2 linked regions of the Caenorhabditis elegans genome follow. The protein of the gene in region 1 purifies or fractionates together with the protein of each later gene. This does not show direct contact. Each region holds a gene or a part of one and is shown on either strand. Other genes may lie near its edges.

Region 1 (7,613 bases):
ATATTTACATTTAAAAAACTGTTCTTTAAAAAATCAAGATAAAAATAGCGGTTTCCCCTCCTTTTCAATGCAATTGAAAAATTTGAAAAACGTTTAAAACAATTTTTTTCTAGAATTTTTGGTTGTGTAAATAGTTTTGAAGACTGTCACACTCTCGATTTTCGACTTTTTAAAATGGATTAGCGCCAGACGGGAAACTAAAAAAAATCACTTCTATGGTGCCAAAATTACCGAATATCATATAGTAGTGAAACTTTTCAAAAACGGTTTGAAAAGTTTCACTGACAGTCGAAAATTGTAGTTTTGGAAACCACAAATCACAGTAAAACTTCTCAGAAAAAATTGGACATTTTTTTATTTTTAAAAAGTAACAATTACTAAATTTTTGTCACTGATGATTTTGGAAGTCGCCTCAAAAAAACTTGGTTTTTCTACGATTTTTATATTTTTAATTATGTTTTAATTATTTGTTTCAAAACATTCTGGGGGTCGGAACATGCGGAATTGCTCTAGATTTCCTTGGAAGCTGATAGTTTTCAAAATTTTGGCAATTTGCCAAATCCTGGACTGCAAGTTTTGAACATCTAAAATTTTTTGGAATGTTTTATTATAACACTCGATCATTTTTGATCATTATAAGTATATTAGGACAAAATCCCCACTGGCGCTACTCCACCTTCAAATAACTTTAACAGGGGCTATATTTACAGTTATAAAATGTTCCTTTTTTGATGATTTACGTTTTCAGAAGTTCATAAAACACCGCTTCGCCGATTTTCGTTTGGAAGAAGAAAACGCAGAACACAAACTCTACATCTGCCCACATGGACAACATGAGCAATGTGTCGGGTATGCAAAGGTATACGACATCACAACGAAAGACGATTGTTTTTAATCAAACATCTTCAGCTATTCCTCAATCTTGGTGTTAACATCGTTCGTGTTTGTTTTGGGCACTACGGGCATGAGTCAACGATAGGGCAGTACCGGTTCACTGGAATTCAATTCGCCACTATTCGATTATTCAGCGACTTTTACTGGAAAAAAGTGATTGGACCTGAATGGAATGTGCACAACATTGTGTACTGTTTCAAGCATTGGTATGATGATTCACATGCTCTTCACTATTTAAGTATATATGACCTGAGGTATAATCTCCGAATAACCAGATAAGATGTTTTAATGAAAACTTTATTTCAGAGCAATCGCTCTAGAATTAGGCAAACCTGATGCAGTTCGTGTTCAACTTCCGAATGGAGTATACCATGCCGTTCGCATGACAACTGTGGAAGACTTGAACCAATTCACGCATAGGACACCATCGAATCAATTTCAACCGTGCCATGCAGATGTTAACGAGCTTTCACTTGGTGCTTCAAGTCAGAAAGAGGAAGGCACCTCGGGGCCACCCCAAGTCCTAGATGAGGATGGGGAGCCATTCACCCCGACCCCGGAAAATGTGCGGCACGAAATTTCAGAGAGCCAAGATGCACCGGGAAATGTTACACATGATTGGTTTTCAGAAGGAGCCAATTCTCAGCAGGTCACAACGATGTGGGTTAATATTCACAATGTAAGCTTTTTCACTTTCATATCATAAAATTGAAGGAATTCATGTTACCATCTATGATTTTTCATTTCACTCTAATTTCAAAAACTTTTGACCATCTCAAATATTTTCCGCAGGGCCAGTTTTTCAGGTTTCTGCCCGATTTCTTGGTTTTGGAAGGAGGTTATGTGCGGACTTTGCTTTGGGTTTTGCTATAGAATACATTATCAAAATACAAAAAAAATTGGAAAAAGAATATTCAAATAATTCTCAATAAAATGCTTGTCAAAAATTATTCATTTTTATTGTATTTTTACAATTTATAATAACTGAGCAAAATCCATAACTAATTTTCGTATGAAAGCTAAAAGAACTGAGCTCGAACAGTAGCCTGAAAATAATGGCTCCGAGTAGGGAACCTTGGGATGGTCAAAATGTTTTTCAAAATTACCGTGAAGCAAAAATCATAGATGATAACATAATCCTCAAAGTTTGAGAAAAATCGATAAGCATCGAAATAAATTATGAATTTTGACCACTTTATTGCTAATTTTTTTGTTGTTTCAAAACAATCATATTACACTAAATAGACAATTTTCAGCATGCAACTGAGCTGAAAAACATTGCTTTCCTGAAGATGTTAACTCCGAACTGCACAGAAGAAGTGTTCAATGATGCTCAGCAAATATTTGAAATGCTCAATCAAGCAGCCGAGATTGCACATAAAATGAATGAGAAAATAAGAGAAGCAAACGGCGACATGTCTAGAATGCCGGTCTTAGAACCGCCGCCAACGTTTTCAATATGTCTAGATGATCCAGTGTTCCGGGAACTTTATCCACTTCATCTTCAAAATTATGTGTACCCAGTGCAACAGTTGGTCAACGAAGAGGATGATTGTGCTCCAAATCCACTTGTAGCTCCCAATGGAAGTACTGTTCGACCAGTTGGAGATTTATTTTCACAACCTCCGGTGCCGAGTTTCTTGCAGCAGCTCTGGTTGAATGCTAATCCTGAATCAGGACCGACGGCTGCTGAAATTGCGGAGCAAGATTTTGAGAATTATGAAAAGGCTAGAAAAAGTGGTGGCAACATTTGGGCAATGCCACTTCCAAGACGAACATTCATTCCCTCAAGGCTTCGTTATGCAACTGGAATTGATTTGAACCGGAAACTTCAAGAAATGCGAGAACGAGAACACCAGGCAATCGCTGAAGAAATTCGAAAGTTAACGCTATCCGAGTTTCGATTGAATAATGTGGAAGTGCCTCAAGAAGAAGAGGAACCTCCCGCGGATCCGAAAACAGAATCCAAAAATAAGAAAAAGAAAAATGCTAAAAGGAATAAGAAAAATAAAGCTAAAGAACTACAAAAAGAGCAACCCCTCCGACACCGTGATCCATAAATGTTTATTATTGTTTTTTTTTGTTTGAAATCTTGCCATTTTGCCCATTGTTGCTCTTTCTCTCTCTCTCTCTCTCTCTCTCTCTCTCTCTCTCTCTCTCTCTCTCTCTCTCTTTCTCTCTCTGTCAAAATAATTCCAGAATTTAAATTTTAGAATTCCGTCCAACCAAATCAAAGTTCAATGATTACCTTTCATCACTGCACATCCTTTTTACATATTATTGTCATGTTTTCCCAGTTTTCAGTTTCCAACTTCCAATCAAATTTCCCCGTCCTTAAGAATTCTATGTCATTGAAATATTTCAGTTTTCTGTTATACCAAACTATAAAAAAAACATTTCTCTATTTTTTAAATGATTCCTGACGTCAACAATGGTAGCATGATGATACTTTCATTCAAAAAAACAGCAAAAAAAGTAGGAGAAATGAATATATCATCACTGAGAATTGATGATTGTAAAACCGTCGCAAAAGTAAAAATTTGCTAAAATTCGTAAATTGTTTTCGGAATTTTTTTGAAAAGTATAAATAGGCTCAAAAATTTTTGTAATAAAAAATCTCAATAATTTTGAAAATACCTAGTTTGGTTTAAAATGTTTGGCAAATTTTTTCTTGCTGCGATTTCCTTGCTGCGATACGAAAAAGTTGAAAAAAGATTCAAGATTTCAGCTAAAATAAGCTCTTTTTTCGAAACTTTGAACCGCGCTAAAAAAAAATAAAAAAATAGGACATATTTTTGAGCAGTTTCATAACGAAGTTTGTTCATTTGAACAAATTCAGGCCCTGTATGTTTAAAACAGTCAGAACCGTTACTCCTCCTTTGATAGGAGAGTGAAAACACAAGTGCCTGAAAGTTCTGAACATTTGGGTAGAAAACTACTAGAAACCAAGTAGCCAGACCTAATTTAAGTTTTGAATAATCACAGTAAAATTAGTTTTCAAAAAGACGAAACTTTTAGAAAATCAAAGATCAAAATTGCATTATTGAATTTTGTTTGTATATTCGTAAATCCATGGTTATTCCTTTTTGATATATTGCTCATATCAAATATATGTTTGCTAAATAAAATAGAAGGCGGGCCGGGCCAAAAACAAAATATTCAAATGCATATAAAACACCACGTTTGAGTTTTTTCTCACAAAGTTACCATGAAAACTTTGTTATTGCTATTTCTTTTCACAGCCTCTGTGGCAGCAATTCCTTTCAGATCAACAACTGTTGTTGCGAGGGTGATACTTCGTTGTAAGCATCCAAAAGATCCATCTGCAAAAGTGTTCCTGATGGAAAAGGATTTTGGAGATCGTTAGTAAATTGATCAATACACATGTATTAAAATAGTTTCAGATGAGATTGATGAAGACGACACAATGGATTTTGCAGAATTTAAATTTGGGCAAATCCCAGAAAAACCACTTCAACTCAAAGGTGAAGAATTCGAATTTTCCGGTCTTGAGCCATACATTTATATTAGTCATGCATGCACCGAAAATCGCGTGGAAGCGTGGGATTCGTTCAACGTAACTCTGGAGACATCCATGTACTTGTCGGCTACGTTCGATGTAATCATTGATTTAGACACGAAAAAGTCTACTGTCATTAAGAATATTTGATGTTAATTAATTTTCATTTGGAATAAAACTAACAGTTAACGGATTATGACAAACGATGGTATGAATTAAAACAATGAGATGTTCAACATTTTCATGAGGATGAATTGAAGGTAGTTCAAAGTCAATTAAACAATAAAATGAGAAGAAGAAAACAGGAGTTCAGATGAAAAAGAGTAAATCAAAAATGATTGGTTTTGAAAATCTAAAAAAAATAAAGAAGGAGTAACGGTCTCTTTCTTTTCCTTCAAGGTATTCATAACGTTCGTCAATTTCTCTTTACTTTTGATGGATTGCGACGAGTTTTTCTTTTTTTCGGTCCATCTAAAAAATGGCATTTAAAATAATTAACAGTCTTGAAAAAAGAAATGCACAAACCTTCTTCTTCATCGTCGATAAATGGAATTTTGAGCATACTGATCGGCGGATTGGGTAGACCATTTTGGAAAGGCGAATCTCTTGGCAACCCGACACATTGAATTGTCTCGGCGAACGCTTCAATGTTGATGACAGAGAAACCTGCGTGCATCATGCTGTCCTCGACGAGGACTACGTTTGTGTACGCGTTGGCACCTTCCATCCTGAAAATAAACATAAGTTTCTGCTGGTATACGTCATTTGAAATTTGAAAAACCTTATGTTCAGGTGGCCCTGTACAATATTTCTTAAGAGGTTTTATATAGTTTTTAAACAAAAAAATGTCCGTCAAGAATTATATACAGTTCAAACTGCTCATATGCAGCTAAATATTTTCAGGATATACTATGGTCTTCTTTCAAATGTTATATTATATATTTATTTTTTGAATTCCAAAAATAAATTTAGATTGGGACAGTAAGTAAAGTGCTTGAAAGCTTGACATAATTAAAAATTTTACAAGCTTGAGTTTTTTAAAAATTTAATTATTATAAGTTGTGTTTTGTTTCAATTCACGATGTGAGTAGAACCTTGATTTATTAAAATCAATCTTCCTGGTCTTGAAATCATGTGAAAAATTTTTACACCCCTAATTCAGAATATTCCTTGTTAAAATGGCTTTGATATTAAGTGCTTAACGTTTTTTTTGCGATATTTGGTAATTAGTTTACCTATTTAGATGGCTTGCCCACCAAACGTTGTTAATACAAATTCCCCAACTCTTGCAGAGCGACTCATCTTTGCAGTCGATTCCGGCCGCGTAAAACACCTTCAGCACATCTTTTGCTTTAATGACGCGACAATTTCTTCTCTGAAAAGTTGCAAAAATATAGAATTTTAATTTCCACCAGATGTAGATTAAAAGTGGACTGCGGTCAGTGGGGTGCTAAAATCACTAAATATCATCATAAAAAGTTTAGAAGATTTTTAAACTTGAGTCAAACACTTTTTGGAAGTATGGGATCCAAAAAAATCAGTTTTTTAGATTTCTTGATAAGTGGCAAAAACTTAAAAATTGTCATTTTTCGACTTTCAATTAAAAACATTTCAAATAGTTTTGAAAAGTTTTACTATGATTGGGGGAAATTTTCATTACATACATTTATAATAATCTAAAACTACCGACTTTCTTAATAGGACACTACAAATAATTTAATTTTTTGAAATTTTCCAGTCAAAGTTGGCAGATTGCATAATTTGAAAAAAATGCTTTCAAAAATAAAAAAAATGCTTTTTAGAAATCCAGAGTAATGCCGCATGTGACACAAATATTTAGAACAAAGTTAAAGTATAAAAATTGTAGAAAAATCTTATTTTTTTGGTTGGTTTCCAAAATGGCAAAAACCGAACCACTTTTTGACAGGAAATCAAAAAAAAAATCACAATTTTTTTTGAAAAGTTTTGCTATGATATTTAATCACTTTGGCACTGGCGATACTCCACCAATAACGAATTTTGAAAATAGACTCACAACATGTCCATGTCGAATATCATCTAGATGAAATTCGGCTCGGCTATTGAAATTGTAATAATGCTTAATGTGAATAGTGCCATCGGCGGCCACTGCAACAAATGGATCTTCATACACTGACGGTGCTCGAGGTTGAGAGCACGATGCGGAGGTAGATGGAACATCACTGCCTGTAAATGAACTGTTAAAAATATTTTTAACTCATTTTGATGATTACTTGGCAATGAATTGATTCGTGATTTATTGTTGTTGTTCGGAGATGTCGATGTGATTGGTTGCATTTCCATGGATGTTCGAGAACTGTCTTCGGTGTCTTGTTCTGTAAAACCATCGGCAATTTAAAAACTTCGACTGTTACTCACTTGCTGTTGACCGTTTATTCCGGAAGCTGAGCGCTCGGCGTAGAACATTCATGGCTGATTTGCGATAAATTTGGAGCTTTGAATTGGAGCCAGCTGTTTCTTGGCTCATTGCATTCTGAAAATTCAAGAAAAAATCAACTGTGCGGCAAGTGTGCAACATGAAAATGGAATAAAAAACGTTTGATAACTGGTCTTGAAACATTTGTTGGTTTGATTGTAATACAACAATTTTTCTTATCAGTCATTACTACGATAAGGAAGGCGGCAAAGAGCACGGTGGCAAACGAGCATGTAAAAGATCGATGATTCTATTTTGTTTGTGAAGCAGAAATTCCACACGTGATACATTTTTGACACACAAATGTAATTAGCTCCGTTTTAGCGAGAATTTTATGTTTTCAATAACACTTTTTTACTACTCAAATTGGTTCAAATTGTGTGCTGTTGCGAACATCAAAAAATAAAAAGAGCAATGAAAGCTAGTCGGTGAAAAAGTGTGTGAAAAGTGCAGAGCCGTCGATTGAACTGTCAGTAAAAGTAAACAAAGTTGAATTCCGTAAAATTTCAAACAAATCGACTGGGGACAGGTTGAACGAGCAGAGGTGAATGGCATTGTGCTAGTCTCGGGGTGAATTTGAAATTGCTCATAGTGAAAATGAGAAGAATAGGAGATGGGTAAGAATGAATTGGTGTGCACTTTTGAACAAGTGCACTGTAATAAATTTGAATGTCTAAAGATATTGGTGCTTGAGGAAGAGGCAATTTTCTTTTTTTAACCTTTTTGGGAGGAAATTTAAAAAAA
Region 2 (8,353 bases), on another chromosome or scaffold:
CCATCTTTAGGCTTAGAAATGGTTATTTCCTAAGCCTAAAAATACAAAAACTCCACACGTTTTTATTTGAAAAAAAAAGAAAAAAAGTGGCGGGGTGATTTAGGACTAGTACCAATATCTCTATCATCTCCAAAGCTAAGCTTGATTCTTCTTTCCAAAAAAGTTTCCAACTAGTTAATTTCAAAAATATTTTAAATAAATATTTTTTAAAAATTAAAGATTGTTCCCCATCTTAGCTGAAACTCACACATTCGTACTAAAACGATTCTAACTTGGCAATTTAAAGCGAGTTTTTACCAAAGATCCAGTAAATAAATATCTCTGGAAAACCCTCACTTTTTTTAATAGAAAATTCCTTTTGTTTTTGTTTACCGTCATGAAAAAAGAAAAATCCAATTGTTCTTCAATTTTTTTCTCATTTTCTGGCCAGTATCCTGTCCATCAAATACGATACATTCACTTTTGTAGCATCAAATGAGTCAAAAAGACACACAAATCTATCAAAGGTGATATACGGAAATTCATTGCGTGCTTCTCGGTCTCCAACACTCTCCTTTTCTCTTTTTTTTTGCTCCAAATTCGTTCATCCTCTCTCCCTCTCATCAAATAACGACTTCCGTGAGAGCTCACATAAGCATAATTCAAGCGACAGGAGCTGGATGAGGAGGAGCACCTTTTCTCGTCTCGAGGCTTTCAATCTCATTTCTTTTTTCATCAACTAGAAGTCTGATTCGGACCCGAAGATTAGTGAAACGGATTAGTTGAGACATATCAGACGGCTGTGTACTCAGGATTTACTATATGAATGGGTCATGTGGTTTTGTAATTTCACACATTTTTTTCAGCAGAACCTTGTTCTTCCAGTTTTCACTAGTATTTTCAGCAAAATGATTGGCTTAACTGTGATGTACACTTTAATTTTTTCAAAATGACCAAAGCTTATAAAAAGACACCTAACAAATTGTAGATTTTTAAATTTCCAGTCAAAGGTTTGGTAAATTGCCAACATTCGAGTTCCATTATTGTTGTGCAATTTTCAAATACAGATTAAACCCAAATAACCAAGAAAGATACCCCGAAACTCGTTGTTTGATAAATTACGCACTATGTACTTGGTTTTATCGTGAGAACGTGCATTAGATAGAGAATAAATTTACATATATTCTCATCAAATATTTTCACTACCAGCATCTTTAATGATCATATCTTCTCAAAATAGCATAGCACCTCTCATGTTGCTCGAAATTTCATGTTTTGAAATTTTTCGTTTGCTCTAACAAGAGTGGTCTTTTTGTGGGGATACTGTGTGAAAATCAGGCCTGTCGTTTTTTTTTTACTTAGACCACAAATAAATGTGAACCTAGAGCTTATTTTAAGGTCAAATACTGAAAAAAAACAGAAATATCTTCCTGGGCATTTTTTTGATTATCGTAGTTGTTGATACTAGGAAAATTAGCGCTTGCGAGAAATTTTGGAAAATTATTAAAAAATACTATTTAAGTTTATGCACTTTCTCGGCACTTCTCCAAGCTGCAAGATAAGCCGAATTTTTCCAAACTCCAATTTTCGATAGAAAACAAAGTTGACATAAATCTCATTCACTCTCAAGGTAGTGTTCAATGCTTATATTGTCCAATGTTGCGAGGTTCCTGATGGGCACACCAAAAATTAACTGTGATTACTTCAAGGTTTTCCAGAGCACACCTTTTTAACTTTTAGCTTACTTTCAAACATGATAAGTTAGATTTATCCACCTCGTAAACTATTTTTTTAATTCAAAATAACTCTGCAACAATTTTGGCCTGGTTTTCTATATTTGAGTTCAACGAGTTAAATTAAATTCGGACTAAAAAAGGCCACCTCAAACATCCAAAGCCAATTGTGACTCATATTTAAATTATTTAGTTTTTATTTGATCTAGAAGATTTCTTTCCCCGCCATCCCTAATATAAAAGAAACCAACCAATCGAGCTCAGATGTATATTGATATCACCCTAGAGAAAACCTTCTCTCACAGAAAAAAGAGGCGAAATTAACTCGTTGGCCTGCACATTTCCCCCACCTAATCTTCTTCTCTCCTTACGCTCACTTTCAAGGCTTGATAATTTCCGAAAAACAGACAGGCTCCTGCTGCTCCTCTTGTCTGCTCAATTACTCGAAAGGGTCCTCTCGTCTTCTCTTTCAAAAAAGTCGTTCTTTTGCCCGCCCTATGTCTTTCAGGATAAATAAAATAGGCCCGTCGGTCTTGTGTGTGTGTGTCGTTGTTTAGTGTGGTGTTACGTCTTCTTTTTCTCCATTCCCTGCTGCATCTCCTTTCATCGCCATCGTTGTGACGACGACGTAGTCTTCGTTGTCTGTTTCTGCTCCGTTTAATTCCAATTTACTAGTAGCTTCACCTCCTTTTCAAACTCTGCAAATGTCTGAAGATTTCGGGTTTTTATCTGCCCTGACTCGTCTTGTCTAGTCTACGGAAAATCGGAAATTCGCTTGCAGTGTCTCGTCGTCTTTATTCGGAAACGACGCTTACAATTGGAAATTTCCGATTTGCGAAGTTCATCATGTGATATTGTTCGGGGTATACTTTTTTGACAAGTGCCATCTTGTGATGCTATTTGTTTTTGACATTTTTTACTATCCGAGCTGAAGTGTTTTTGCACAAGATCCTATTAAGTTTAAGCTCACAAGTCGAGGAAGGTTTTATTATTTTTCTTTTCTTTAACGGTGCATTGACAGCGAAGAAAGTTACCGATTCCTACTTGAAAAGGTTTAGTGTACTGATCAGGTGTCCTAATAATATAAAAAGGATAACAAGTTTTGAGCTATAAAACCCCTTGCCAAAAGACTTACCAACAGGGGTTTAGCGTTTTTCAAACTTCCCAAGCGGTTCTAGAACACAAAATCTATTAGCGAAACCCCATAATATATGCATTTTTCCAAAAATCATATTATTCAGACGTTTAAATATGAGCATTTTCGGTCTCGCCAGGTTTCGCCACGCGGTCAACGACTTACTGTAGATCATGCCGATAAACTTCTTTCAGTAACTCGTTTTCCGCGTGGTGAGACCTTTGCGCGTAAGATATGGCAAAAACTCACATTTTCAAACGTATACGTGATAGCTAAAACGAAGCGTGGAGTTCAATTTATATAGCTACTAGATTATACAATTCGCTGAAGCTCAAACTCCTAAACCTGAAACAGAGAAAAAGTTATAGTACGTTAAGTGCATTTCTACTAAAAAACCAAACTGTAGGAAAATCCAAAAAAAACCACATGTGTACATAAAAAATTTCTCAAAAGTTTTGAGAAAACATTATAATGAGGGGGGTTGAGCTGGTTGAGCTTGCTATGACAAATTTGAAATATCGCTTCGAGACATTGTGACTACCGAAACATTATTTTCTTGAATTCTAGAGTCCTTAGCTATAAAAGTAGTCACTGCTGCTCAATCCATTGTGCAACCCTTCACTTTCCGGTTCTTTCAACTCGGTTACTTCTTCTTTTTTTTCTGTAAATATCTCTACGTCTATCCAATTTTCCATATTTTTACTCGTTCACTCTTCAATTCGGAGACTTTATCTCTTTTTCTCTCTCACTCTTTATTTCTTTCGCTTTATGGTCCTTTTGTAGTCTTCTAACCCTAGTCAAAATACGTCATCAAATGAGCCATTCTCACTCACTCAACCGCGCATTCTATCTCTCTGTTCATTGGCGTATCTCGTCTCTTCAGAATAACATCCTTCAACTTTTTCGCCACCATCATTGTCAATTTGAGATTTAAATATTTTCTATTTTCTTTCAAATTTTCACAAAGTTAACATTCCAGAGACTTTAAAATCACAAAACATGGGTAACCAATCAACTAAATCAACACACGGTACCACACGGGTATCTCATTCAAAGTCAGCTCATCATAATTCAAGTAGGGTCACCAGTGACGTCATTCCAAGATCAGCTTCAGCGATTTCTTCTCATGGTGAGTGTTAGTCTAGAATTATGAAAAATAAACTTCTTTTTTCAGAGAGATTTTTCTCTGATTCCCAATCATCCTCACCTCCGGCAGTCTGCCCAGTATCCGCTCCAGGAAAATATCGAAATTTTCCAGGTAAAACTGCCAATAAAAACTATTGAAATTAAATATATTTTCAGGAAAAGACGTTCCGCCAATTTGTCTAACTGATGAATACAATAATTCAGACGATGAGGTTTTCTGTTCGACACGGACTTCAAAACAATCACCTTTGGCTACAGGTAAGAGTTTTTATACGGAATAATCTGTTTTTCTAATGACCGTTTTCTCACTTTGAAAATATATTTTGGTTGAACTATGTAGTTTTTAAAGCAACTGCTCCAAATATAATAAAGACGATCGAATTTTTATGTGGAAGGCACAAAACAAATAACAAAAACGGTAAATGCACACGGGCGCTGCGCGAGCGCCAGAAGACCCGGGGAAAAATGTCTAGTCCTCAATATGCTCAAAATCCCAAATCTGAAATCCATAGATTCAACAAAAAGTATCTTCAGGCTGTCCACGTCAGAATTTGGGCTCTCCAGGCAATCGGCGATCAGTGGATTCAACAAATTCGGATTTACTTGAAGCAGTCACACCTCGAAGCCAGTGGGTTTTATCACATTTATCCTTTTTATCAAAACATCTCTTTTCCAGTATATCTGTGAAACGTACAGTCAGCAGCGGGACAGAGCATGCTCCAGATCATGCGAATATGCAAAAGAGTAGCTCCTTGAAGTTTACCAGACCAGGTGTTCGGAGTGAGACAAAGGAGACAACTCCATCGACTAGCTCAAATCGTAAGATAAAAATATTTGTCAGTTAGAATGATTCATGAGATACAAATTTTAGCAACAATGTTCCCATGCATTCATCAATTTCTTCACCTTACGCAGCCTCAAATATTGTTTGTGAGGAAAACTTGGAATCATGCAAGAAATCAAGGCGCCCTGGAACCAGCGATCAGTATCTTTCGAAACTCGTTTTTCAAAAATCCCGAAATTCGGCAAATGATAATGTTTGGAACTAAAAATGAAGGACATGAAAGGTTAAAGAAACATGCTCAACTATTTACTGTACTTATGGATGACCTAATTGCAAATCTTGATTCACCGTCAGCTACAGTAGCTGGACTCCGAGAGGCTGGTGAGAAACATGTTTGGCCAACAAGAAATCAATGTGAGTTTTGAAACATTCTGCGCTTTGATCTGATCACATTTGACAGAAATCTATAAATAAATAAATTTAATTGAATGTCTAAAAAATTATACTCCAGATACTCCGGATCCATTTTCCGATAATTCTTGATTTGAACCAGCTCTGATAAATCGATGCTGATCGATGTCCAAGTCAGTTAAAACGACGCAGGTACACCCAGCTTCGACATAATTCGACGTCTATTGGACTGACTTTGACGTCGATCAGAATCGATTTACAAGAGCATCGTGTGCGGCAATTTCCCCGAATTTGCCATTTTTTGAGCTCGGCAAGTTGGACAAATTTGCCCAACTCGGGAAGTTTCAGCTTTATTAGGTCGAGCTTTATTAGTTGTACGGTTAGAAAAAGCATATAAAAATGAATCACTGCATTAAAAAACCCCCAGAAATATTTTCAATCATATTTTACCAATTCCCTCCTGTTTCAGACGGCTGCCCATTCCACGCACATCTTCTTGACCAGTTTGCAACTGCAATGATTGAAAGAACTTTGGAATGGGGAGAAAAGAAAGATCGAACAGAGGTTAACCTAATAGAAACTGCATTCAGACAAATATAATTTGTTCCAGACAACTCAAAGAGGATGGACGAAAATTGTATTATTCGTGACAGAACAACTGAAGGAAGGTTTTCAGGATGAACAGAAGAGGGCAAGACGGATAAAGGCTCAAATTGTACAGTTTTATTGAAATTTTAGTTACAAAAATAAATTTTTAAAATCTTATATTTTTCAGAAAACCAGCGCGGGAAGCAGTTCTTTCGAAATATCAACAAAAACGAAGCAAAGCGACATGAAACGATTCCATACATTGGATAATATGTAAAAAAGCTCAATTTGTGTGATTTCTTTTCAGGGTCATAGGTGATAATTAATAATCCGGTTTCCAATTGTTATGAGCATTTTTTTTGTTATAAAGCAATTTATTGAATAAAATGCCATTTATTTTTTCATAACCATCTAGTAGTGCCTCCACATGAATGTGTCGTTGCAGGTGAACAAAGAGCATTGTAGAACCACCAAATGTATGCATACACAATGCAATCTCTTTCTCTTCCACTCTTTGGCACTTTCTTTTCCAACTCTTTATCAAGTTTTTGGTTCGAATCAATATGCTATACGGTCCCACGCGTCATGACTTTCTTGTCTTTCGGCTGACTATTTTGTGTATCGATTTATGTTGTTTTGTTTTCTCAAGCTTTTGTAACGGGGCTTCTGGATAAATTTAGTTCTTTAAAAAACATAAGCCGATAGAAAAATGCTTTAAGAAAATTTTCATATCATTTTTTAACTGACAGTCTGCTGGTAGTTTGCTAAATGAAGACCTGTTTGTCAAATTCGAACATTAAAAAAAATAATTTAGAAATACACATTTGACCAACTTCTCTAAATTTTCCATTTCTCAAAGTTAGAATTTTCTATGTTTAAAAAAGTAGATGGTGTGTGTTCTTGACTAAAATATATTGAAACTGGACGAAATTTCTCAAAAATGTTTCTGAAAAACTTTTCGGATATTCAAAATTTTGAAAAGAAAACCGATTTTTCTAAAATCTGAAATTTCACCAACTTATTTTTGTTGAAGCTGATGGAAATTAACATTTAATTTTTAGCAGATTATGCCTATTCGAATTGTTTTCCCGGGTTTTTTCCATTGATGTAGGCGCTTTTTTTTAATATGGAAAACGTTCCGTTTTTATCTAAAGAAAACTTTTTAAAAATTAAAATTTCAAATTTCCATAAAAAAATTTTCTAAAACTTCAGAGAAATTTCATCAAAATTGGGCAATTTGATAACAGCTTCACTCTTTCGAGCCCGTTTTCAATTCAATTTTCTGACTAGTGGTGTTTCTTTTTTTTTTAATATTTTTCTGTACTGTCTTCTGTACATTAACAGATTCTCCCAACTACTTTCAGGCTTTCAATGGATTATTTGAAACCTGTATTGGGCACAGCCAATTTTTATCCGATTGTAAGTTCAAAAATAACTTCTGATACTAACTTTGATATTCAGAATGTCAACTCAATCATCCCAGATGGAATTGTACGTGAGAGACGTCAGTTTTTCGTTTCAAATGATATGAACATGACGAACGTTAATGGTGATAGTCAGAAATTCGAAGGTATAATAGAAAATTTGACTCCATTAAAAAAACACATTTTAAAACTTCAGGTTACACTCATAAAAGTGGTCTGGATTTTTACTCGCCAGGAAATAATAGAAACAAAATATATCCAACGGTCAACGCCAGAACACCAATGAGACCGGCAATTGTCTACGTTGGAACTGTCAGTTCTTATGAAAACTACAAAAGTCCAATATCTGACTATCAAAACGAGAAAAATCACCCATCATTCGTCGTTACAGTAAGATCTCATCCGCCTTACCAAGGTACGTATTTCTATTTACCTCAAATCTAGCAGCATGGGTGGACGGAAGTTAGTTTTGGAAAATCTACTAAATGACCTATTGCGCAATGTTGTTTCAATTTTTTTTCATTAAAAATTAGTGTCAATATACATATAGAAAATTATTTGATCTACCTGAAAATATCAACCATTTCAGCTGAAACACTTGGGAAAATTCTCATAAATGACCTAAAAGTGCGCCTAGTGATTGCACCGAAAGACTTTCCCTTTTGACAGGGCGTCGTTTAGATCCTTAGTTTTTTTTTGCTTGACTATGAGTGTAAAACAATTTTAAAAGTTGTCAAATATTATTGCAGACACTGGGCAAAATCGTTGGTATCGCGAAGTGCGACATGATGCCAATTATGATGCACCGACGTTGTCAGTGAAATCAAAAAGTTATCTGCAATATCAACATGGAAATTACTCGGTTAGTTACTATGACCTCACAATTCGATTTTTAAAGTGTAAAAATTTTTATTTCAAGCAAATTTTACTCTTTCCTTTTTGTTTTAATGTTTCACCTGCTCTAGGAAAATAGTTTCTTTTAACGTGTTTCAATATAAGTAAAAATTCGAAACATTTACTTTTGACATTTTTGCTTAATTTTAAGATTTCAGTAAATAATTTTCTGTTAACTCAAATAAAAATTCACTTGCTCAAGTATATTATTCAGGAAAATCGCATAGGCATTTATATATTTCTAATATCTTTTCTGACC

The links.
Region 2: the proteins of ttr-42 (region 1) and glb-6 fractionate together in Caenorhabditis elegans (co-fractionation; one large-scale study listed by BioGRID). This does not show direct contact.

Annotation. Positions count from the first base shown.
Region 1 is NC_003284.9:2,573,649-2,581,261, forward strand, and holds ttr-42 (Transthyretin-like family protein), read left to right. Parts: upstream 1-4,093; 5' UTR 4,094-4,102; coding exon 4,103-4,256; intron 4,257-4,298; coding exon 4,299-4,564; 3' UTR 4,565-4,614; downstream 4,615-7,613. Other genes in the region: F52H2.1 (JmjC domain-containing protein), read left to right, coding at 749-859, 910-1,148, 1,201-1,573, 2,151-2,954; H01M10.1 (SET domain-containing protein), read right to left, coding at 4,830-4,885, 4,940-5,142, 5,650-5,789, 6,450-6,619, 6,667-6,768, 6,812-6,920.
Region 2 is NC_003283.11:5,566,007-5,574,359, reverse strand, and holds glb-6 (Globin-like protein 6), read left to right. Parts: upstream 1-3,826; 5' UTR 3,827-3,846; coding exon 3,847-3,976; intron 3,977-4,021; coding exon 4,022-4,105; intron 4,106-4,149; coding exon 4,150-4,251; intron 4,252-4,527; coding exon 4,528-4,621; intron 4,622-4,669; coding exon 4,670-4,812; intron 4,813-4,864; coding exon 4,865-5,191; intron 5,192-5,657; coding exon 5,658-5,752; intron 5,753-5,798; coding exon 5,799-5,903; intron 5,904-5,963; coding exon 5,964-6,053; 3' UTR 6,054-6,175; downstream 6,176-8,353. Other genes in the region: C18C4.7 (Golgin-84), read left to right, coding at 7,148-7,195, 7,238-7,346, 7,397-7,615, 7,950-8,062. UniProt on the Caenorhabditis elegans protein: May play a role as physiological sensor for oxygen via redox signaling and/or electron transport.